4 linked regions of the Caenorhabditis elegans genome follow. The protein of the gene in region 2 interacts with the protein of the main gene of each other region in a pairwise test. Each region holds a gene or a part of one and is shown on either strand. Other genes may lie near its edges.

Region 1 (5,502 bases), on a different chromosome or scaffold from region 2:
TTTGATCTGAAAGTCTCAAACGTGTGCGTCATTGGCTAATTGTACTTCAAGGGGGCTGGTTTTAGATGTTGGAAAATAAGCTAGTAATTACAGGTAAAACTAATATTTTCTCGTTCTGGGGAAGGAAAGAAAAAGTGTGGAAGTTGCGAGGAAATAGTTCACTTAGCTCAGTAAATTAAATTGTTTCTTTTTCCGAGGAACTACAACCCGTAGCAAAAACCTATTTAGTTATTGGAATAGGTATCACGAAGGCGTTGACAAAAAAACACACCTACTATATTTTAATGCTGAATTTTCAAGAAGTTTCCTCCATTAATTTTTAAAACTATTTTTATACAATTTACACAATTCTTTGACGGAAACATTAATTATAGAGTTACATAAGTCTTTTACAAGGGTTCGAAAATCTTTTGAAAACCAGCTAGTTGAACCGTTTTCTTTTACGAGGAAAACAAATCTTATTTCAATCAAGGTGACGGAATAATTGAAAATTTTCTCGTTTTTAAACCAACAAACCCAACACAAAAACGTAGCATTTAGGATTATTTTTGAATCGAGACAAAGTGTGAGAATTTTTAAGATTTCGTGATTTTATGATTCATGGACAATTAAAAATGGAATCATTGAGATCAGATTATCGACTGACATTCAATTACTTATTCGCGCAAACGTGAATATTTGAACAAGTTCAGAACACAAGTTTTGGCAAACATGTAATGAAATTCAAGATTTGGGAAGGAAAATACATTATGAAATATATATATATAAATGGAATATATTGTTTTAAAAATTAAAAAAATCTTCATCAATCTTCATCATCTTCCTCTTCGAAATTTCCGCAAAACGCGTTGAAGTCAGTTGTGTCCATTTCTTCTGAAATGAAAAAAGAGAATAAAAAAAAACAAGAATGCAAGAGCAGCAAAAAGTTCGAAAGAGCCAAGCCATTTGGTTTGTGATTTATGACGTGGCAACTCAAACTTTTCTGGATTTTTGCTTTCTGTGCGTATTCTGGTGTACTGCCACATCAGTGTTGCTTAGATTTTCGAACAAGACAACAGACAATAATTGGAAACGCGTTATATATAATTATAGGGAAACTACTCAATAATTAAACATCATGAAATTCGAAGAAAAAATTCTATGAAAATAGATTTGAACAATCAAAAATGAATGATTGAGAAACTTTAAATACAGAAAATTAGAGAAACGTGAGACATGTTTCCCTGCCTAAGCGCCTATCTATTGCCTGTTTTATGGAGTTTTAATGGAGTTTTCAGTTATAGCCGGAATTTCAGTGAACGGAATAGATTTACGCATGCTTTAAGACAGTAGGTAGGCATATGTGTAGGCACGAAACAGGCACTTATCGCCACGAAAGAAGGTAGTTTTTTTTCATCTATATAAATTATTTGCTTAGAGATTTCGGATCTGAGTTATGAACAAAGTCCGATTTGAAAAGTTTTAGTGTCAAACTTAATGTTTATGCAACAAAACAACTTGTTAAAATGTTTACTAGTCACTATCTATTTTTTGAAATTTCAGAGCTATTACTGCGTTTTCCAGATTGAATCTTTAAACTAACCATTTCTAAAATGAATTGGCGGAGGAATGAGCCCACGTTGCTCATAATGTCTCAAGTAATTGCACAAATGTTTGAGCCTCCGTTCCTTACTTCTCCGGTTTTGGAACCAAACCTGAATTACTCTCATGCTTAAACCGGTCTCCAATGCCAATTTGGCTCGAGCATGTTTCGACGGCTTTGGTGTATTCGAGAACATTTCATTCAGCACGTCCAACTGAAAATCATTATGAAAATTTCCGCTTTCTTACATTGTATACCTGATTTTGTTTGATTGTCGTTCTAGGTCCGCGTCTTTTTAGCATTCGTGAATCATCATCACAGAAATCGGAAAAGCTATAATGCTCAAAGTTGTATCCATAAGCGTCAACCTCCTAAAAATTAAATATGCAGTACATTATTCGGTATTTAATCCCTTTAAACTTTCAACGAAAAATAAAGTATACCTTTTTAACTTGGAAAGCTGATGAAAAAGATTCATCAATTGGATATGGGGCAATTGGATTTTCTGTCGAACAAGATGGTATATCAACTGCAGATCCTATTGCTCCAGGTGCGTTGTCATCCATTTGAGGAGGATAATGTGACATACAGGATACGGTCATCATTGTATCGTCAACAAGAATTTGTTCCCCCGGTGATAAATGCCGTCCACACAAAGAGCAACAATGACATTCCACATGGAACACGAGCCCAGCCTGTAAAGTTCTTTGAGTCAAACTTTACCGATCAAAGCCCCAAGCTCTATGCTTGTGCGTCTAGCAGGATCCCGTCAGAGCAAAGAGCAAAGCGTAAAAAATGATTACATCTTTCAAAACTATTAGTCAAAGCTTTGGTTTTTTTTTTAATTTGAAATTGTAGGCTTTTTGAAATCTTTCGGGCATTCCTACTGTTTATACAAAAGTAGTCAAAAATTTAATTGATAAAAAGTTGACAACTTTTTGTATAGGTTCGCTCAAAGTTTAATGTTTTCTTAAACATTCTGACCCAATTTAATACCTTCAGTTTATATACCATATCTGTCGGTGACACTCCTTTCTTGCAACCCGCACACCGATGAATACTGTGATCCCTGAAATAATGTATTTTTATTAATTCCAAGAATATTTTGCTAAAGCTTACTTATAATAATGTTGACTACAATAAATTCTCCCATTTTTCCAAAAACACTTTTCGGCCAGAGGAGACTCACATATTGTACATTTGACACAATTTTCGTGATACGATCGATTGTCCATCTGAAAATAAATGATGGCTGAAATCTTGAAATGTTGTTCGAACTATAGAAGCAAAAGAAAAATATTCAAGATTTTGAGCAGACTGTTTACAGAAGCAAAGCAAAGAAAGTTTGAAAAATCCACAAACATCAGCAAACTTACTCGATAAATATAACGATCATAAATTTGCTCATTGCAGCAATTACATTTGTTCTAGAAATATTTAAAAAAATTATAGAATGTTAGACACAAGTTTCACTAGAGATCGTATCGATAAAATGAGATTGGAAAATAGAATGAATACCAACCAAAAGTTTACACGATTGACTTTCAGAATCTAACTTTCAGAATTTTTAGAAGATGCGGTAATTTTACTTGACTCTCTGAAAGTCGAACAGAAATTTTCCCTCGTGCGGATTTTGTATAAATTTCAAATTGGAATTTCTTGACACGCAGAAGTCTTTGTAAAAACTTTCAAGCAAATGCAATGTAAGTTTTCGATTGATGTTAATTTCATTTTTCTGACTCTCAAATTGTTACTTTTAAATTTTTTTAAAGAAAAATTGTTTTCTGATGAAATTCACAACTGCTCAAGTTTAATTACTCACCTGATTTTCATGATCAACTCCAATTGAATCAATAACCATACTAATCGCACTGAGAGGCTTTGACTCTAACATTTCCATAGTTCAAATGAAATAAATCAGAAGAACAAATAACAGTGAAATTTAGAAGAAAATGCGCGAAATTGTGGCTACTCACTGTAACAAATCACCCGTCAAGAGCCAGATGTCATGTAGGCGTGGCATGCCAATCCAACAGGAGTCTCTAGACCCTGATCGATTATTAATGTGCGCTAAAACTGGTGTCTCCAAATGGTGACGATAATAGATGCATTTCTTATGAAGCTAGAAAGTGTGTGTAAGGATAAGCACTAAAAAGTTGTCTAGTTGGAACGGGCTCTCTCTATCGATCTCCTGACGGTCACTTGTGTTTTTCGGTCGATTCATTATGGGCAATGCATTTCGAATGAATTTGTTGTTTTTTCAAATGTTGTGTGAAGAATATATGGAAAGGACGTTGTAAAGTTTTATAAAAATTTGAATTTGAATAATCTTGTTCTATTACTCCATAGTTACAAAAAAAAGGAACGGAACGGCGGTGGAGAGTTTCTGACTATGCTAATTATTGGAAAATGTTATACTTGAGAATTCAGATTTTCTATACAACATTAAAAATTATGGTATGGACGTCTTCATTACTGCCAGCCTACTACTTAAAAAAAGCTTTTACAGTGAAGTTTCACCCAATCTATAGTTTGGGAGGTAAAATTCCGCGACATTTCAGTAGGTGGGTGCGTGTCTTGGCAGGAGGCATGCGTAGGTATCCTTAAAATCATATCGAATCATTTGCTCCAACTCGGCATTTGGAGGCAACTTCCTGCCAACAATTTGGCAACTTATTTTAGTGGCACTAAATAAGTTGCCAGGTTGTTGGCAGGAAGTTGCCTCTGAATGCCGAGAAGTACAAAAACTATCAGTATGTATTCATTGTTTGTTAAAAATTGAAATGCAGTCCAGAGAGTTTTCAAAATCATTTCCAAATTGTGAGCGTAACTACTCAGTTGTTGGTGTGTTTCGCTTATTTTCTCCTTTCAACTGGGTTTTTTTTTCAATTTATGTTCATTGATATTTCATGAGTTTTAATTTTCGTTTTGATTGACAGTACGGAACTGTCACAAGATAACAGTAAACCTGTCAATAATGTTAAATTTGATCTTTGTAGAAATGAAAGTACTAATTTAAATGTAAATATTTGCATTTGTGAAAAATAGAAGCCAGAAAATGAGAAAATGAAACCAAAAGTCATTTTCTAAGTAAAACGCGATATTAGAGGCTGCTGGGCAGAATTCCAAGAATTTAGAAAATTGCAGAAAACATTTGTTTTGATAAATGTCTTTAGGAATGAAATCTCAGAATACGCCAAGTTTTGCATATTTTATTATCCTTTTACAAAGTAATCAACCAGATTGTATTAATTGTTATTTCGCAACTAACAAAACCCCTCGTTTCAGTGCTCATTTTGAGTTTTAGTCAATTTCTACTCCCTTATTTGCAACTAACCATGCATATAACTGATAAAATAGGCAGATGATAAACTTGTCACTTTATTTGTTTTACAGAAATTAAAGACCCAAAATCACAATGAATGCTCTAACTTCTGCGCGTTTTTATCAAGAAACAGACTGTGTGTGATGACACACCAGCTCGGTGATAAATCAAAGAAAATGAGATCATTTTTCGTAGTTTTCCTTGAATCACAGAACTGGGCAGAAGCCTTATTCACGTGAATATGAGCATGATACGGTATTAGGTACACTTTCTGAAAAGATGAAAAATTCAATTTCTGATGAAACACATTTCTTCCTGATAAGGTAGTGAAATGGCCCCAAAAGATAAAATTTCAAAATGAAACTTTTTATAAATTCTATATTTTTTGGTGGTTAAAATTTTAACAGAGAAAGTCTGAATTTATATAAGATAACACCATTTCTATCTTCGCCAACTACTCCGGGTACCTGCAGGGCAAAATTAAAAAAAAACACATCGCTCCTCATTTTGATAGTTTATTCCGAGAGTTTTAAGATGTAATTTTTATCCATAAAAATCCGAAAATAGCACAATCGAAGATCATATAAACTGAAGA
Region 2 (5,543 bases):
GAAAACGCTCCGCCTCCTAACGTTAGGTCTCGGTAGGAGGCGGCGAGACTGTAAATTCAAACTTTTTCACTATTTTTTCGATTGTTTTTTGTTGTTTTACATATTTTTTATGTCGAAATGATGTTTAAAATACTTGTCGTTTCGAAATTATAATATAGTCAGAAATAACCGAAAAAATAACAAATTCCTAACGGGACCCAACGTTTAGGGGCGGAGCACTTTTCGTTTTACATTGGAGCGCGCTTTCGCTTAGATTTCAAAAAACTCTATAATATACAATTTTGGATTTTTTTATTCAGATTGTTAAAAATTCGAGTCCTGAAATTAATTTTTTGAATATCTTTCAGGTTGTCACTGGCTGCAAGCATGTCTACGCCTCAACTCGTTCCCGCCGTGATCTGATCGCTCAGGCGGTTGCCGAATATCTTCAGAACGCTTAATGATTAGAAAACTTCACTTTTGCAGTTATAAACTTACTTGTCTATATGATGAATTTTAATTATTTGAACTGCAACAAGAAGATTATGAAATTCAAGAATAATTTCATTAAAAAAATAAGTGACTAATAAGTCAAATTATTACACAGAACAAATGAAATGAAATGAGGCGTACGCTCTCTGAGCGGTGTGGGAATGATAAAGGGATAGCGTAAGCTTTTCGGTGTGTAGATGCGAGATAAAACGGAGTGTTATATTTTAATGTACAGGTTGAGATCGTCGTGGCGAGAACACATGTCGTTGTTGCTAGAACATGATCTGCGCCTGAAAAAAAAGTTCATAAAATAATTTAAAGATATATTCCCGGAGACTTTTTGCTTTTGTGCCGGTTTTTCGATTTTTGGATATTTCGAAAAAAATTGCGAGAGTTCAAAAATTATTTAAAATCTGCCACTATTCTTTTTTTTAGAAGAATAGTATGTTTTGTGAAAATATTTCTATTTTTTTTCGATTAAAAAATCGAAAAAGACAATTTTTTAGTTTTTCGGAAAATCGAAAAACCGACATCCTTGTTACTGTTTAAATACCTTATTAAAACTAAAATAATTAAAATAAATTTTTCTTTTAAAACTTAAAAACATTGATTTCTATTTTTTTTTCTCATCAACATATACAAAATTTGATTTAAAAAAACGGTTTTTTAAAAATAAATTTCTGAAAAGTTTTTTTTTTAATTTTTCAGTTTTCCGGACGTTCCAGATTTTTCAAAATTACAATTTGGTTAAAATTAGGTTTATTTTTTTTCGTTTTTTCGAAAAAAAATTCGCAAAAACTGAAAGATTTGAGTTATAAATTTTTGATAAATTTAGTAAAAAGAAAAATGATTTTATTAGAAAATTTCAATTTTTTGACACTGTAAACCAGTATTTCCATTTTTTTCCTTAGTATTTAGTATTTCCAGTGTTTAGGTGTTTTTTTTTGAAAAAGAGCAAAAAACTGGAAAAAAATTGTAGGGTCAAATTTGCTCAAAAAAGTGCAATTTCTGTTGTTTGTATGAAATAGGGCGTAAACCGTTTTTTTTTAAATTTTTTTTTTGGTTCTGCCAAAAACGAAATTGTTTTTTTTTGGTTTTTTGAAAAAAAAATGTTATCACGAATTTAATTTAATTTTAATTTTCAGTTTTTAGCCGTAAACACGAATTTTTGATTGAAAAAAACTCACTCTTTTCTTTCCGTACTCTTTGGGTCGCCATTGCAGAGCTGCTGGATTAATTCGTGTCTTCTTTTTCGCAGCCTCAATCCGTTTCTCATAAACTTGACGCTTTTCATCACTAATCACAATTATGTATGATCCCTTATAGTATTTGTATAGATCAAGTTGCTGTAACGTTGACACAACATCTTCTCGTTTAATCGATGTACTTTGTGAAATGTCCTGAACTGTGATATCTTCGCCTGGATGTCGTCTTTTGAATGCGAAAAGCTCTTTCATGATGGCCATTGACCAGTACGATCGATATGAGAGAAGTCCCAAATCTGATAGTGGTTTTTCGGGTGATCCTGTCTTCTGTTCAATTTTCGAGAGTTCATAGCTGAATTCGATGAGCAAACTTCCGTATCCTTTCTTTTGAAATGGAGGTAACACAAGAATACACGCAACATTATATTCTTCAGCTGATTCTTTTTCTTTTGAAAAGTATCCAACTATATGATGACCCTTCTCGTCTTCTTCGGTTAGCACATAGAACAAAAATGGATCCGTGTCATAGTAAAGAGTCTTGTGATCCAGAAAAAGTTTGGCAAGCAGGCATAGATTCTGAGCATAGCTTTTGTTTTTGCGGCCGTCGATTTCAAAAAATGAAAGTTTATCGTGACTGTAGATTTGATTGCCAGGTGGGTGACACATTGCACATTTTTCCTGAAATAAAATTAATTAGAATTGGGCATTTTAATTAAATGATAGAAAATGAAGAGTATGGACCGAATGTAATTGTTTAAAAAATTAAAAATTTGTCTATTTTTTACGTTTTTTTTCCATTTTGCAAAATAGAAAAAGTAGCTGATTTTAATTTGAATTCCCACGCAGAATAATGGCCTATTTGCGAAACTTTTTTGATTACGATAAATTTGGTTTGAAACACCGTTTGTGAATTTTTTTTTCGTTTTCGCAAAAAAGTATTTCAAAAATGCAATTTTTGGAGCAAATTCCCAGAATTTGCGATTTTTTTCGATGCCGGAAAATTTTAAAAACATTGTTTCAAAACTAATATCAACGGAAAAAGCAAGAAAAACCGAAAAATTCAGCCAAAAACACACAAGAACTCGAATTTTTTCGAATTCACCGATTCTTTCATTTTTGGAAAATTGAAAATTTTTGAATTTTGAAAACAGTTATTTATATTCGGTCATTTTCTATAACTCGAAACACTCACCATGTGCCGTTTCAGACAAGTTTTCGACTTTAGATATTTCAGACAAAATTCGCAAATATAAATACAATCCAAACTTGTCAATTGTTGTGGATAAGGTGCAAAGTACCATGGCTGAATTCGTGATCTTCCTAGTTCAATGCATTCGACATTTCGGATCCTTGTCATTGCATCTTCACTATGGCCGACCATCGACATGGAACCTCGAAGACTTGGAGTAGATCCGCTGGTCATCGTTGAAATTGCTTGTAATGGATCTACGGATTCCGCCTTGAGATCATCCATCGGAAGTAGTGGAATCTTTCGTTTTCGGCCGCTTTTCTTTCCTTCATTTTCATTCGAATCTCGACTGAAATAATTATGAATTGATAAAACTATTTAAAATCTTTTGAAAAGTTTATAGATTTCTCACTTTTCTTCCCGCAAGTGTGCTCCTTTCTTTCCTCCTTTTTTTGGTAGCTCACACGACGCTAAATTGAGCCTATCAGACTGAACCCATTCGTCAAGTCTTCGGTTGCAATCGATATAATGGACATAGAATTTAATTGAACCATTTGCAGCTCGGCATCTTGAAATAACTTCGGCCCATCCTGAAAATAATTGGAAAATGTGTTTAAATAGATGTAAAAACTAACTTTCTTCTTCTTGTGAAGCCATCATGACCAATAACCGGCATCCCTCTGTAACTTTCTCGTATTGCCTGGGATCTGTTGGTATTTTCTTGGATATTCCATGATTTTCGTCCTCTATAATCTCCTTCTTCGGCTCGGTCATGATAAATATCTGGAAATAGTACAATTTTGTGTGAAAAATTCAATATTCAATAATATAGCAATCAAATGTGAACGATAGTACTTTCTTGCGTGCATAATCCATGAACAACATCTAAAAATCGATCCAAAAATGAACAAACTAGTTTTTTAATTTTAAAATAATATTATCCGTTGTTAGTTTTACTATTTTATCAATAAAAAACTTTAAAAATGCAAGAAATAATTGTGAAATCATGCTCGAAAAAAATAAAACGCGCCGGCTGGCCTAGAAACCAACCTCGGCCGCACTGCGCCGGCCACAGGGAAAAAGGGCGGCAATTCAAAAAAGAATAACAAGGGTGGTTGAAAATTGACCGCGGCATAACGTTTCAAGGCAATTATTTTGCGAAATGATCTTGAATTAAATTATTCGAATTGAAAAATAGTTATTTATAATGTACGATTGTACTTTCAAAAAAAAAACGATCACAAGAAAATTAGGAAAACGCAAATTTTTGAAGATGCTTAAAAAATGAACTGAATTCAGTGGTAAAATTTCAGATATCTAGATGTCCATTGCACTGTTGAGCCACGAACAAAAAAATTTAAATCAATGCTGCGCGAAAAGGTGTGCGCCTTTAAATGGTACAGTAGCCGAGTTATTGTTCACGAGATTTTCTCTGAAAAACATAATTTTGTTGAAAACCGAAATTGAAAAGCATGAAAAATGAAAATAAAACAGCAAAATTTTAGCTTAAAAAATCTAGGAAAAATCAAAAATCGAAGAAAGTTGCGAAATAAGAGAGAATGGATTACTGTACTTTTTCATCAAATTCCAAGTTTCCAACTTCAATTTTTCCTACATACTTTCGAGTCATGTGTTGCAAGAATGTATCGGTCTTGACCCTGCAAGCTTTAGATTCAAATGAATTCCTTCAATTTCAAAATTCAAATGTTACATTCAAATGTTGAATCCGGCATCATCGGAGCAACTACGAAGCACACAAAAAATCCGAAAACAAAAAATCAAATATCAAAAAGCGACAAGTGACAGGATGAGATGAAGAGACGAAGAGTTGAAAATCATTGAACTGATTGAACGCGTCACATCAAAACACCTGTTCGAACAAGATTGATAAGAGAGCCTCTTCCTCGTTTATTTTTCCTCTTTTTCTTATTATTCTTCCTTCTTCTTCTTCCCATTTTCCGATCATTATGATTATCATAACACTCGTGAAAGAATACGACCTTCTTTGTAATCTATATATCTTTTTCGTCATTTCTTTTCTCTTTCGATCACAGAAAGTAATTGATCGTCGTTTCAGGTTTACCGCCGTCTCCGTTTACTTCTACTATTTTCCATTTTCAATTAGAGAAGACGGTTTGACCCATACTCTATCATGTCACTATATTTTATACTAATTGTTACTATAATAATCCCACAATTTGAATTTATTCATTCACCTTTATCTGAAAAGGATATTGTTACATTCCGCTTCAATTTGGTAAATCGTCTTGATCAGTGCACATTATGGAGATCAAAACTAGATAAAAAAGTTTCAAATACGTTAGATCATTTTTTAATGAACTCAAAGTTTGATGAATTTCGAGAAGCATCTACACAATTAGCTGCAGATATATACCCGGAAAGTATTGACTGCCTTGACTCTTGCTCTTATGATATTGAACAATTTAATGATTTCGTGAAATCTGAAAGTTTAACTACAAAGAATGATCTTGGAGACCTTCTTGATAACGAGCAAATTTATCAGTTGCATATGCTTTTGGAGAAAACAAAACGGCCGGATATCGTGGAAAAAGGGGTGAGTTATTGAAGTTTCAATTTTAATTTTAACGATTAAAATTCTATATAACAACTTATGTTGTTTTATAATATTTTTTATGGGAAATGGATGAAAAAATTTC
Region 3 (7,605 bases), on a different chromosome or scaffold from region 2:
AACTCAGAAGCAACGAAAGTTTAAATTTAAAAAAAATATGTTTTCTGAAACAGGAGAAATTGGGAAATACCCTATGGTACGGTAACGGAAAAGTTTCATTCGTGCTAAGACCTTGTCTATGGGTTTCTACATGGCCGCGGAAGAGAAAGCTCGGCCGCCAACTTTTTTTCTGGAAATTGCTGTACGATCAAGTTTGCATACAGAACCAAGACGATTTAAAAATGAAAAGTTTATTGAAAAATCAAAAATAATAAAAATAAATCAATAATTATTAGACTCGATGCGTCGTGTGTTTGTATGTTTGGAAGTTCTATACATTTTTCTCTCCAAAAAATGTTTGGTTTTTTAAAACCAAAACATTAAAAAACATGATTTCACTTTTTTTCAAAATTATTACCACCGGGGGTGTCTAAAACGGACCGGTTAACTGTTTAGGATTTGATCCTATTTTCCGAGATAAAACAAAGAGAGAGGGAACGAGAATGAGAGACGCAGAGCGAGAAACAATACAGTAATCCTGGGAAAGTGTGGGCGGAGCTCAGCTCAATTTGGGCGGGGACAGTGGGAAATCGATGCAAACGGAAGAATATCGGTGAAATTTGGGAATTTTCGAAGAAATTGATGACATGATTAGGTGGCGAAGAGACATAGAAAGATAGTATGTGGTTTGGTGAGAGACGAAAAGATTATTTGAATTTAAAAAAAATGGGGATTTTTGGAATAACACAAGCGGTCTTGAAGACGAGAAAAAAATCGGTAAATTGGTTGGTTCACTTGGTGAAAAATGAATGAAAAAATTAGAAAATATAACAAAATTGGTAAAAAGTGAAAATTCAAGAAAATATGAAAAAATCATTGAGTTTGAAACCAAAGATAAAAAGAGATTGTGTGGAAAATTAAGCAAAGAAGGGAAACATACAATTTTTCTAAAAATCAATAATTGGTCAAAATTATAGATCTTAGGCTTGCAGACCATAATTTTTCAGATACATACTCCAGAACTCATTCAAAATTGCTGCCGATGAGACAGAACCTGCAGAAATGCCTGGAAGGAGTGGAGCCTGTTGTCCGATTGATGGAGCCATATTTTGAATAATGCTCATCAGGAACTGTTGTTGTTGCAAGCTTATCAATTGTTGATTCATTGGGATCGGCGGATAGATTGGAATCGGAGCAGCCAGCGTCAGAGTGTATTGAGCCAGAAGTGGAGATGGAGAGCATGGTGGAGACATTGAAAGGGATGGGGACATTGTATCAGTGGTTGAGGATGGAGATGGACTTGCTGATGTTCCTGGAATATTATAGATTTAATTTCTTTGAAGCTACAATATAAATTTTAACTGTCTGCGTTGATATTTGCATCAAAATTACCACTTTTTTGTCTTCCCCTGAATTTTGAAAATACATTGGCTTAAGTGGTAATTATCTTTAAGGCAAAGTAACTTTCAGGGCAGGGCCCGCCTGATAGGTAAGCAGAAAGACATATTCTATAACTGAGAAGTTGTACCAATTTGAGATTCTAGACATATTTGAAATTAACCTCTTAACTTTCGTAATTGTTTATTGATGCGTTTGGATATTCCCGTATTTGATTGTTTCGGTACGAAAAATTGGAAATAACAAGTAGCCATTTTATATAATCTATGAGTTGATGGTAAAATCTATGTTTCTGATAACGTTAATACGTACCGTCAACTCTAGAATTACTTCCGACTGGATTTCAGGTTTAGACTCCAATTTTTGTGATTCTGACTTAAAGCTCAATTTACACACTTCTACAAAATCCCATAGCTTACCAATTATCTTTTGACCATCTGTAGCTGTGACAACCATCATCTCCATATCCATATCTTTCGATTTTCTACGAGAGTTCCTTTTTGGTTCTTTACCATCTCGGGATTTCTGTTGTGATCTGCGTAATTTGATTTGAGCCGCCATAAGATTTCGACGGTGTTCCACAAGAGTACACTGAAAAATAATATTTTTAAACTCGAAAATCGTAGTTCTGTTTACGCGTTTTCAAAAATCTCACACAAATTAATGTGGCAACTTTCTCTGTCAGTCCAAGAGCATGCTCCAAGTTGCCTGCTCCACAACAATTTTTAAAAAGTCAATTCGTAGCACTGTTGCATTAAAAATACTTCGAAATAGTTGAAACTTATCAAAATGTTTCAAAAAGTCACATTCTCAAATCTCATTGGCAAGCCACTCCCCCATTTCCCTACAGTACTTTTATAATCCTATAATTTCTTCGCGCAGGTGACATTGAAAAGCATAAAAACTGCAATGTTGTCAAGGGCGCCTGACTGCCGATGATGACAGTATAATTACACTTACCAATGTACACTCGCATGTCACAAATTGGCACATTGTCCGCTTGTGTCCCCGCAATGGGACTAGGACTCCGTGAGCCGAGCACCGAGCACAGTGTGGGTCACGGACACGCTTCCCATCACGGGTTTGAGTTGCCGGTGTGCAGTGGATCTGGAAATTTGGAAAGGTTTATAAGGGGTCCCGCTAAAAAGTGTTTTATTTTCACAGTAATATTATAGGAGTTAATGCAATCACAAAAACAATAACCAAGAAATTCGGTATAAACTTTCAGTAGGCTCAAGAATGCTTGCAGTCAATGCAGCCTACAATTGCCTCATACCTACACGCATACCCATGGTCCAAAGTGAGCATTTTTCTCATTTAAAAATACACTTTCAACAAATAACTGAAATAAAACAATAAGGTAGGTACGCCTATAGATGGCCAGGCAATGACCTATATGTGACTTGCCACAACAAGAGCCCCTTTTGAAAAAGAACAACTTCATGAAAAATATACCTACCCTTAAAAAAATCCGATAAAATCAATCTTTTTCTCACTTTTTCTTTGCTTTTCACACTCTATCTATTCGTATCTTCAATTGTTTTTCTTACAAAAAGAGAAAAAAGCCAAGACGTCAACCCACTTTTCATTTTGAAAATGTCAGATTTGATCTGAAGTTGCGATTTTTTGGTGAACTGATAAGATGTGGTATTTAAGTGCGTGAGAACGCACATACAACCTTCAAGACCGCCTACACCGCGAAACAGAAATGTAGGCAGACAGGAATGAGGTAAGGCACAGCCACCTACAGCCACACCTACCATAGAATCCCTATAGAATACTCACCTTCTTTTTGCTTAGCAAATTGTTCAACTGTCTTCGCTGCTCGACCATCGTGCATTCTCGACATGGACATTTTAGATATCTGTAAAATGTTCGTCTTGTTTATTTTTCAGTGCCACTTGGTGTCATCGACGGGAGAATTTTGTAGTTGTACAGTAACCCGCCCACCCATTCAAATATTTTATTAGACTTTTCACAATAGAGATAGGCCCTATCTTTTGTTAAAAATTATATGAACTGAAAAAATTGGGAGAAAAAAAAAATTGGGTGAGGAATTTTACGACTGTATAGGTCATTGTGGAATGGTTTGTTTGAAAAGTGAGTGTATCTGTGTGATTGGATGTCAAAAAATGAATGAAGATTTTTGAATGAAAAGCAAACATAATTTTTTAATAATTTTCGGTTCCAAAAAAAATAATAAAAAAGGCTGAAAAATTTTTAGTTGCTTGAATTGTCTCAAACTGATCCCAAACAACCAAAATTCATGATGTAACTTCCCAAACATATCTCGAAAAAAAAGAAGCGCTTTTTTGAATTTATCTAAACATTGGAAAAAATGATCGACCGAAGAAGAAGCTGGCAGAATTTCACTAGTTTTTTTTTTAATTTTTAACCGGATAGATATTATTTTTGTAAAGCCTAATAATGAAATTCGGTCGTTTCGGGCGAGTTTTGGATATTTAAACCAGAGAAGTACAAATTCTTTAAACGAGCGTTTAAAAAAACCTAAAAAGAGTAACACACCTTGATATACATATTATTAAATGTGTAGTAGCGAAATCAGGGAATTAAAAAAATTTCACATAGGTATTCAAAAAACTCTTGTAGTCATTTTAAAATGTTTCCCAGATTTCGCTAATCCATCTTCAATTTAGCTTAGTGATAATTGTCGTCATTGCAAGATCTTTTTGAGTCATCTTTCACCTTGGTGAAACATCTACAGTATCCCTAGACCACCTTCAAAATGGTTTAGGTTAATGTATAAAACATAACTTTTTGCCTCTTTGCATTTTCCCATTCTTCTCCTCCGTTTTTCGCGTCCATATAATAATTCGTTTTTGACCCCCCTCACTCATATAATAACAATTTCACCTGTATGGGTGGTATTTTTCGCTTTAAATCGACAAGGTCAGCTGTTTTTTCTTGCTTTGCGTCTTTTCTTGCCCGATCGTAATCGGTAGACGAACATCTCAAATTTTACGGGTGTCTTTGTCGGAGGGCTTCGCGAAAAAAAAAACTGATGGTGGGTGAATAAGGTCGGTGACGCGACAATTTTGAGATAAAATTTGGAATTTGGAGTATTTATGGATAAACTACATACTTTTTCGGCACAACAAAAGTTACAAAAAGTTCATTAAACAGTTGTTAACTTTTTATCGTTGCAAGACCCAAAATTATCAAAAAATTCAAGAGTTTAAGCATTAAAACGTGATGTATATAATTAAGGGTGAATGAGGGAGAAACATGGAATGACAAAATAGTTTTCAGATGAAATGTAGTTTAAAAATGCAAAAAAAACCATTGCTCACCTACAATCCGGCTTGTGACCTTTCCTTGGCTTCAACTCCCCATGATTTAAACATCTCTGACAATAATAATTTTTTTCTTGCTCGGCGAGCTCATCGACTGCTTTCGCCTCACAAATCTCCGATACGGGATCCTCGGTGAGCATTAGAGCTCCTCTGCAAAATTTTTTCAGATTATGAATTTAGTTGTTTTTGTTGAAATTTTTATTTTTAATTAGGGAATTAAAAAGAGGGATCTATAAGCATTATATGAAACTGCTATACTCTAATCTTGACTTATAAAATAATTACGAAATTTTGAAAATGTCGTGGAAAAGTCAAATTTTCAAGACTGATTTTTGTGAGAAAGAACATTTTTTCGCCAAAAATATTGTTCTTTGCATCGGAACAAATTTTCAATTTTTTAAAGGAGCAGCTGGTAATGCGAATTTTTTTTGTAATACTGTATCTTTTCTAGTTTCCAGTGTATATCTTTCGGATTAAAAAAATTTTCAAAGTAAAGTAAAAAAATTTTCTTTTCCTATAATGTTAAGAATTTTGAGAATTTAAAACAGAAAATTTAGAGAGCTTTGAAACCAGTTTTTTTTTCTTCAAAAATTACAGATAGCTCAAACATATATAAAATACGTTTTTATAATCTAAATGTTCAATTCAACGTTGGGCTCATTCTGTGACTTTAAATGTGGAATAAAGTTGGGCTACTGTATGTTTTTAAACCTGCAATAGTTAAAAATGTTAAAAACCAGTTTGAAATTTTTTCTTATAAAGAATTTTTCAGAACGGATATACATGGAATTTCAATATTTAATGGCAACAAAGTTTTATTAATTTACAGAACCGTATTGCTTATTTGACTTGAAGGAAAAAAAGAGCAAATAAATTTCTAAATAAAATACGTTTGAAGTTTTTCAAACCTAACTGCAAACTTTATAAAATCACAAAAATCGATTAATTGCAACTGGCAACATTTGATCGTGTTACAAAAGGTTCAATTTTTAATCAATTAGAGGTTTTTATCAAGAAATAATTTTTTGTAGAGACTAAAACCAAGACAAACAGACAAGTCAGGAGCTACAGTATTTCTACAATGTACATCAGATCAAATGTTCAAGTTTTTGTTAAGCCATTTTCTCAAAAATTTCAAAGAGTAGACTGTTAGGAAAGTCAGCCACAAATTGTAGACGCAAAGATGGAAACATTTTCACATAATTTTACTGTTTTCAAAAACCCCAAAAAATTATTCTGAATCGACTGGAAGCACCTACCCAAAAGTACAATTTCCTCCAACAAGGGGTCAAGATCGAGCTCCTAGAGCACCGATAGCATTCAAATATCGAAAAGAAAAGGAAAAGAGGGAGTAATAGGCACTCCCCTCCTGTGAAACGGGGCGGGTCCCAGCAAGAAAGAGTCGCGGCGACGAAGCGCCGCCTCTTTTTTGGCGACTGATGCCACCCGCGATTGGATAGAAGACCTCACACGACGATAATTAGAGAACGCCGAACGTGAGAAAACCTGGTAAGAGACGCCAGACAAACATATATCGGGAGGGAGCGGCGCCCCGAGACTATGGCGGTGGAGGGGGACACCGCTATCAGTTCTCGCGACGACATATTTTTTCTCTGGCTGACACTCCGCGAATCGTGTGATCTCTGCGTTTTTTGGGGACACCTGTAAGTACGTGTGATCATGGAAAGAGAAGAGACGAGAGAAAATTGCAAACTTTTAGTTTTTTATTTTATTTCCTGTAACTCAATTTTTATAGGTTTTGTTCGAACTTTTATTATCATTCGTTGGGTAGGCTTTTCTAGACTTTTCTGTATTTTAGAAAACTATTAAACATTCCTGGAATGTGACCTACCTTGCTTTAAAGGAAATTGAAACTATGTCTAGAATTATGGATCCACAAGTTGGAACCTTGGAGCCTATATAGAAAGCTTAATTATATTTTTTTTTCGAGGAAAAATACAATTCTTGAGCTTTTTTTCAGTCCATAGGGCCAAGATCCCGGCACCGGGCTGTAGAAAAAATTAGGACTGGAAATTCATAACTGCTCCCATGTGACCTAATTAATATTCATAAGCTAAGTACTTTCTTTCAGCTTTTACTAGCTTTTTTCATTTCTTCATTTGAATCTTAACCCCCCAACCCAACCACAATTTTTTTTCTGAACACCCGCGTCACCAGTTTCAGATTGATTACATATCTAAGCCTACAGTAATCCAATATTTCTCAATTTCGCCTAATGAGCACCTTCAGGTCTTGTGTTCAGTTAGCAGAGAGAGAATGAAAATTGGCAGTTTCAACGCACACATTTGATCTCGACTGTGTCCTCGAAATGGAAAGGAGAAGAAGCGGTAGAAACAAAGTGGGATTGACAAGAAAATTACAGAGGAAACATTTTTGGTAAAGGTTGATTTGGACCTGAAAATATATTAGGAATGTTTTCGAGAGAAGCTACCAAAAACTTTGAAAAGTAATAGTTTTGTTGAAAACTGTCTTACCAACTGTCAAAGTTCTAGTGACTCACTATTTAGTCAAACCGTTTTTCAATTACCAAGATTTGAAGTTTCAGTCAAAAATTATTGACCTGCAATGGATAACAATTTTCAATATGACTTTTAAAGTTTCAGTAATTTAAATTTCTCAAATTTTCCCGAACCAAAGATATTTCCAGTTCCACTTTATAAATGTCGTTAAAAAATTTTAGGTTTGAGAACCAACTTTCTAAAGGAATTGCTGATAAATTTTGACTAAATTCTTGTTTTCAAATGTTGCCGAATGGACTGTATTTACTCTGAACATTCTCTGTACTCCAAAGAGATCACCACATCGAGTCTAGACAGTCTCAACTCGCTCACTACCCGCCCCGCTGATTGTTTCGCTCGTAGGAAAAAAACGGCTGAAGTGTGAGAGTGAACGA
Region 4 (3,846 bases), on a different chromosome or scaffold from region 2:
AGTTTTCAAAACACCTTCAAATCCGTCAAACATATAATCTTAAAGTATCAATATGCACCACCTCAACTCGTTTACCTCTTTAATGAGCCACCTGCACTGCTTTTCGTCTGCGTCTCTCACTTCTTCATACTTTTTTTTCCCGGCTTTCTCCGAAAACATCTGCTCTTTCTCTGTGTGTTCCCGATTCCCTCAAATCTTTTTTTGTTCCCCCGCGAGAGGGATATTCAAAACGTGTGTCTCATAAATGTAATTTATATTCTAGAATCTGAAATTGGTTGTTTTTCCAAATTAAAAGAAGTATCATTGATATCCCCAACCCTGTGTATTAAATGTCTTAAAATCAGAAATCATCTTCTCTCATTATCACAGCTTTACCATTCAAACATTCCCCCAAATTGTCTTTTTCTTCACCTTGTCCTGCTTTGGTTGTGCTTTAATTGTGAATTTCCCAACTCCTTTATGCTTCTTTTTTACTTCCTTCCTTAAAAAACTTTGCCATCATCCAACGTTTGTTGTATTTTGTCTTCCATTCATATTTTCAAAATGAAAACTTCATAAAAATGAAAGGAACAAGTGCAACAGAACAAAACAATTACACGGGCGTTAGAAAGACAGGGATGTGGGGAAAATTCAGGGGAAAAACTATGCTGATGGTTTTAGAATGTTCATCTCATTTTCAGTGTTAGTGATCATACTGTAGCAGATTTGAGAGATATCGACTTCTGGAGAGCCCTGAAACAAAATAATACAATTAAGAATTAGCAATATTTAACAACTCACCATTTCAAGTTCATTATTACGAATCATCAATTGAACACGAGAATGATAGCTTTGGTGTTGACGATACATATCTACGTCGGCGAATACTCTCATGCATTTCTGAAAATAAAGTTTACAGGATATTCAAGATTTAATTTTCAATTATTTACCGTGCAATAATTTGGTTCTTCAGCTTCTTTCTTATCATGAGAAGCATACATATGCAGTTGACAATCCTCTCTTCCACTACATTCGCACTTGCAAATTGGGCATCGAAAGCTGTAATTTTCAGATTTTGCATGGGATATTAGTAAGACAATAATTATAATAATTTGCGGTAAAAATACAAACGCTGGTCTTTTCACGTCTTCTTTTTTTGTAAAATACAAAAGGGCGTGCGCCTTTAAAGAGTACTGTAATTTCAAATTGAATTGAAACTTACATCTCAAACTCGAGTGGTTTAGCTTGTTCTAGAACATCGGATGCCATGTGACAGTTAGTCAATCGCATTGTAGCTCTCATGATTTTATCGTCAAATGAAGATAGTGGGATAAGCTGGTTTCGGCAGATCATATCAACCCATTTTGAAGGATCTTTACCCAATAAAAGTTTCGGAACCGATCGCTTCTTCTCTGGATTGTAATAGGGCATCGATGTCCCACGAATGACTAGAGCATCGGACGGAATAATTCCAGACGAACGCCGATTGCTGAAATCATTTTTAAGACGAGATAGATATCAGAATTCCCCTCGTACAACACATATAATTCGTGGTTCGTGTATTATACGGTGGACGTACAATAAATGTATTATTCACATAATATAATGGACGAAGTTCTTAAAATTCGTGCAATGCAATGTGAATAACATATTTATTGTACGTCCAATGTATAATATACGTACCACGAACTATTTGTGAAGGTGAAGGGTCGACCGATTGCCAACCTCGAATATGGTCTATAAGCAGCTTCCAACTCTTCTTTGCTTGTCACATGAGTTCGCATGTGCTTTTTCATGTTTCCTTTCAATCGGAACTGTTTTCCACAAAATGGACACACATAAGGGGTATAGCCGGTGTGAACGGTACGATGCTCGAACATATTCGATTTGTATCGGAATCCTCGGCCACAAACATCGCAGATGTATGGTTTGGTGTCGGTATGAATCACAGAGTGCTGTTGGAGACCTGAAATGTTTTTTTTTATTTCAGCTTTCTATTTTTATGCGAATAACCTTTATAATTCATAAACATTTTATTACACACATTACACTGATGAACAGCAAACGGGGCGACTTCTTCTTGTTGATAGGTTCCGAACTAGAAACATTTCAATAATCTTAAAAATAAGAATCGAAATAAAATACCGTTATAGAAGCTTCGTAGTCCTCGCCGTCGTAAGATGGATCCGTTCGGTCATCAATAATTGACATCTGAAGTAAAAAATAAAATTTTTTGAAGAAAAAATGCAGACAATTTGTTGGTTTAAACATAAAATTAAGACAAACAAAACTCATAAATTAATTGACAGCTTCTCTAAATTTTAGGATTACCGTGTTTGACAGTTTCGTGGTGAGACCCAAAAGTTTCGTTGCGTCATGCGCCTTTGAGCACAGTGTCCCCAACAAAGAATTGTTTCTGCAATTTCGAATTAAGCTGAAAACATTATTTATATATTTAACAAAATTAGTTTAGAACAGAAGAACAGAAAATTAGAACATTTTCGATCTTTGTATTTTTTATACAAATATAATTTGAATAAATTTCCATACTTCTTCCCCGTTGTGTAATTTCTTTACTTTTCAGAACTTAAAACATTCAATTATTCTTTATTTTGAATTTTCTGTAAAACCTGCGCAATTGAATTTTATGTATTTATCAAAACAATTTTCAGCCATGCTACAGTAACTTCTTTAAAATCATCATTCTTCCTTGTCTAAATCGGAAATCTGTCTGTGTCCCGTTGGTCTATTTTGTTATTCGTCTGCAGTTTCTTCTACTTGTGCACTATATCGTTTCCACTGAGCGAGAGAAAGAGTATACACACACAACACATGCCAGTTCCTGTCCTTTGCCGCCCATCACCATTTTTTTCACCGTTTCGGCTCTGAAATGGACAATTCGTCACAGAGCAAACCGTCTAGTAGTTCGTCCAGTCATTCGCCAAGTCCTGCCGCAATTGTAAGTTTAATGGATTTTGAGTAAAGAAAAATAACGTTTTCTTGTAAAAACAGTATTGTATTTAATTTTTAAAAAAATCAGTTGAAGACGTATAAAGCCTGCTTTTACCAAAACTATCAATAAAAATCACTGAAAACTCAATAAATTAATAAATTCAGACACCAACACAACGAACAACACGAGATTCCGGATTGTGCTCAACAATTGATATTCCCGAAATTCAAGCACAATGTATTGATAATTTAAATAGTCATTATCTCGGAAAAGGCACTTATGGATTGGTTGAGAAAACAAGATATAGAAAAACTAGGCAGGATGACTTTAGGTTCGTTTCTAGCTTCAAAAATTTAAATTTAATTCTTTTAAAGCATGAGGAATTATCAAAAGTTAACAAAAAATCAATAAAATCACCAAAATATTATTTTCAGGCCAGCAGCAATCAAATATTCTTCTCAACTTCATATGGCAACTCTTATAAGAGAAGCAAAAGTTATGTGGGATCTCAGAAATCATCCTAATATTATAAAGTATGTTTTTATAAATGGAAAATACTGAAAATAGAAGTTTTTCAGAATTTATGGACTGTACAAAAGCCCTCGGAATGGGCAAGGAGTCGTTATGGAATATATGGATTGTGGAAGCATGGCCGATTGTGAGATTTTCATTTAAATTTAGTGAAAATCCCCGATTTCGCCAAATTTTTTAACATTTTGTCGGTTTATTCCGTGTTTCTTAGCGAATTAAACTACATTTTTTCGGCAATAGGAACAGAAATTTCTATCAGCTAAAAATATATTAAAATACATCAAAAAAGCGGATTATACTGCAAAATATGGAAGAAACTGAATAAAAATCAATATATGGACGCTGTAACACGAAAAATCTGGCAAAAAAAATTTCACTATAAT

Evidence for each region.
Region 1: the proteins of mys-1 (region 2) and mec-3 interact in a two-hybrid assay, tested with the Caenorhabditis elegans proteins (one large-scale study listed by BioGRID).
Region 3: the proteins of mys-1 (region 2) and mab-3 interact in a two-hybrid assay, tested with the Caenorhabditis elegans proteins (one large-scale study listed by BioGRID).
Region 4: the proteins of mys-1 (region 2) and lsl-1 interact in a two-hybrid assay, tested with the Caenorhabditis elegans proteins (one large-scale study listed by BioGRID).

Annotation. Positions count from the first base shown.
Region 1 is NC_003282.8:10,458,285-10,463,786, forward strand, and holds mec-3 (Mechanosensory protein 3), read right to left. Parts: upstream 3,584-5,502; 5' UTR 3,483-3,583; coding exon 3,405-3,482; intron 3,010-3,404; coding exon 2,959-3,009; intron 2,818-2,958; coding exon 2,702-2,817; intron 2,652-2,701; coding exon 2,579-2,651; intron 2,278-2,578; coding exon 2,026-2,277; intron 1,954-2,025; coding exon 1,840-1,953; intron 1,797-1,839; coding exon 1,583-1,796; intron 874-1,582; coding exon 806-873; 3' UTR 532-805; downstream 1-531. UniProt on the Caenorhabditis elegans protein: Transcription factor. Specifies differentiation of the set of six touch receptor neurons (TRNs).
Region 2 is NC_003283.11:7,081,015-7,086,557, forward strand, and holds mys-1 (Histone acetyltransferase Tip60 homolog), read right to left. Parts: upstream 3,649-5,543; 5' UTR 3,640-3,648; coding exon 3,501-3,639; intron 3,456-3,500; coding exon 3,278-3,455; intron 3,215-3,277; coding exon 2,869-3,214; intron 2,355-2,868; coding exon 1,659-2,354; intron 762-1,658; coding exon 744-761; 3' UTR 531-743; downstream 1-530. Other genes in the region: npa-1 (Polyprotein allergen nematode domain-containing protein), read left to right, coding at 348-440; VC5.2 (Laminin EGF-like domain-containing protein), read left to right, coding at 5,018-5,440. UniProt on the Caenorhabditis elegans protein: Probable catalytic subunit of the Tip60 chromatin-remodeling complex. Plays a role in acetylation of nucleosomal histone H4 and perhaps also H2A, probably acting as a component of the Tip60 histone acetyltransferase complex.
Region 3 is NC_003280.10:9,730,648-9,738,252, reverse strand, and holds mab-3 (Protein male abnormal 3), read right to left. Parts: upstream 6,023-7,605; 5' UTR 5,951-6,022; intron 4,842-5,950; 5' UTR 4,832-4,841; coding exon 4,689-4,831; intron 3,243-4,688; exon of another isoform or gene 3,242-3,242; coding exon 3,163-3,241; intron 2,485-3,162; coding exon 2,338-2,484; intron 1,969-2,337; coding exon 1,797-1,968; intron 1,292-1,796; coding exon 960-1,291; 3' UTR 218-959; downstream 1-217. UniProt on the Caenorhabditis elegans protein: Transcription factor which binds the DNA motif 5'-[CGA][TCA][TA]ACAATGT[AT][TGA]C-3', probably as a monomer.
Region 4 is NC_003279.8:9,899,623-9,903,468, reverse strand, and holds lsl-1 (C2H2-type domain-containing protein), read right to left. Parts: upstream 2,191-3,846; coding exon 2,125-2,190; intron 2,078-2,124; coding exon 1,993-2,077; intron 1,946-1,992; coding exon 1,705-1,945; intron 1,469-1,704; coding exon 1,202-1,468; intron 1,039-1,201; coding exon 930-1,038; intron 880-929; coding exon 781-879; intron 733-780; coding exon 643-732; 3' UTR 540-642; downstream 1-539. Other genes in the region: Mitogen-activated protein kinase kinase kinase mom-4, read left to right, coding at 2,870-2,938, 3,097-3,263, 3,367-3,465, 3,511-3,590.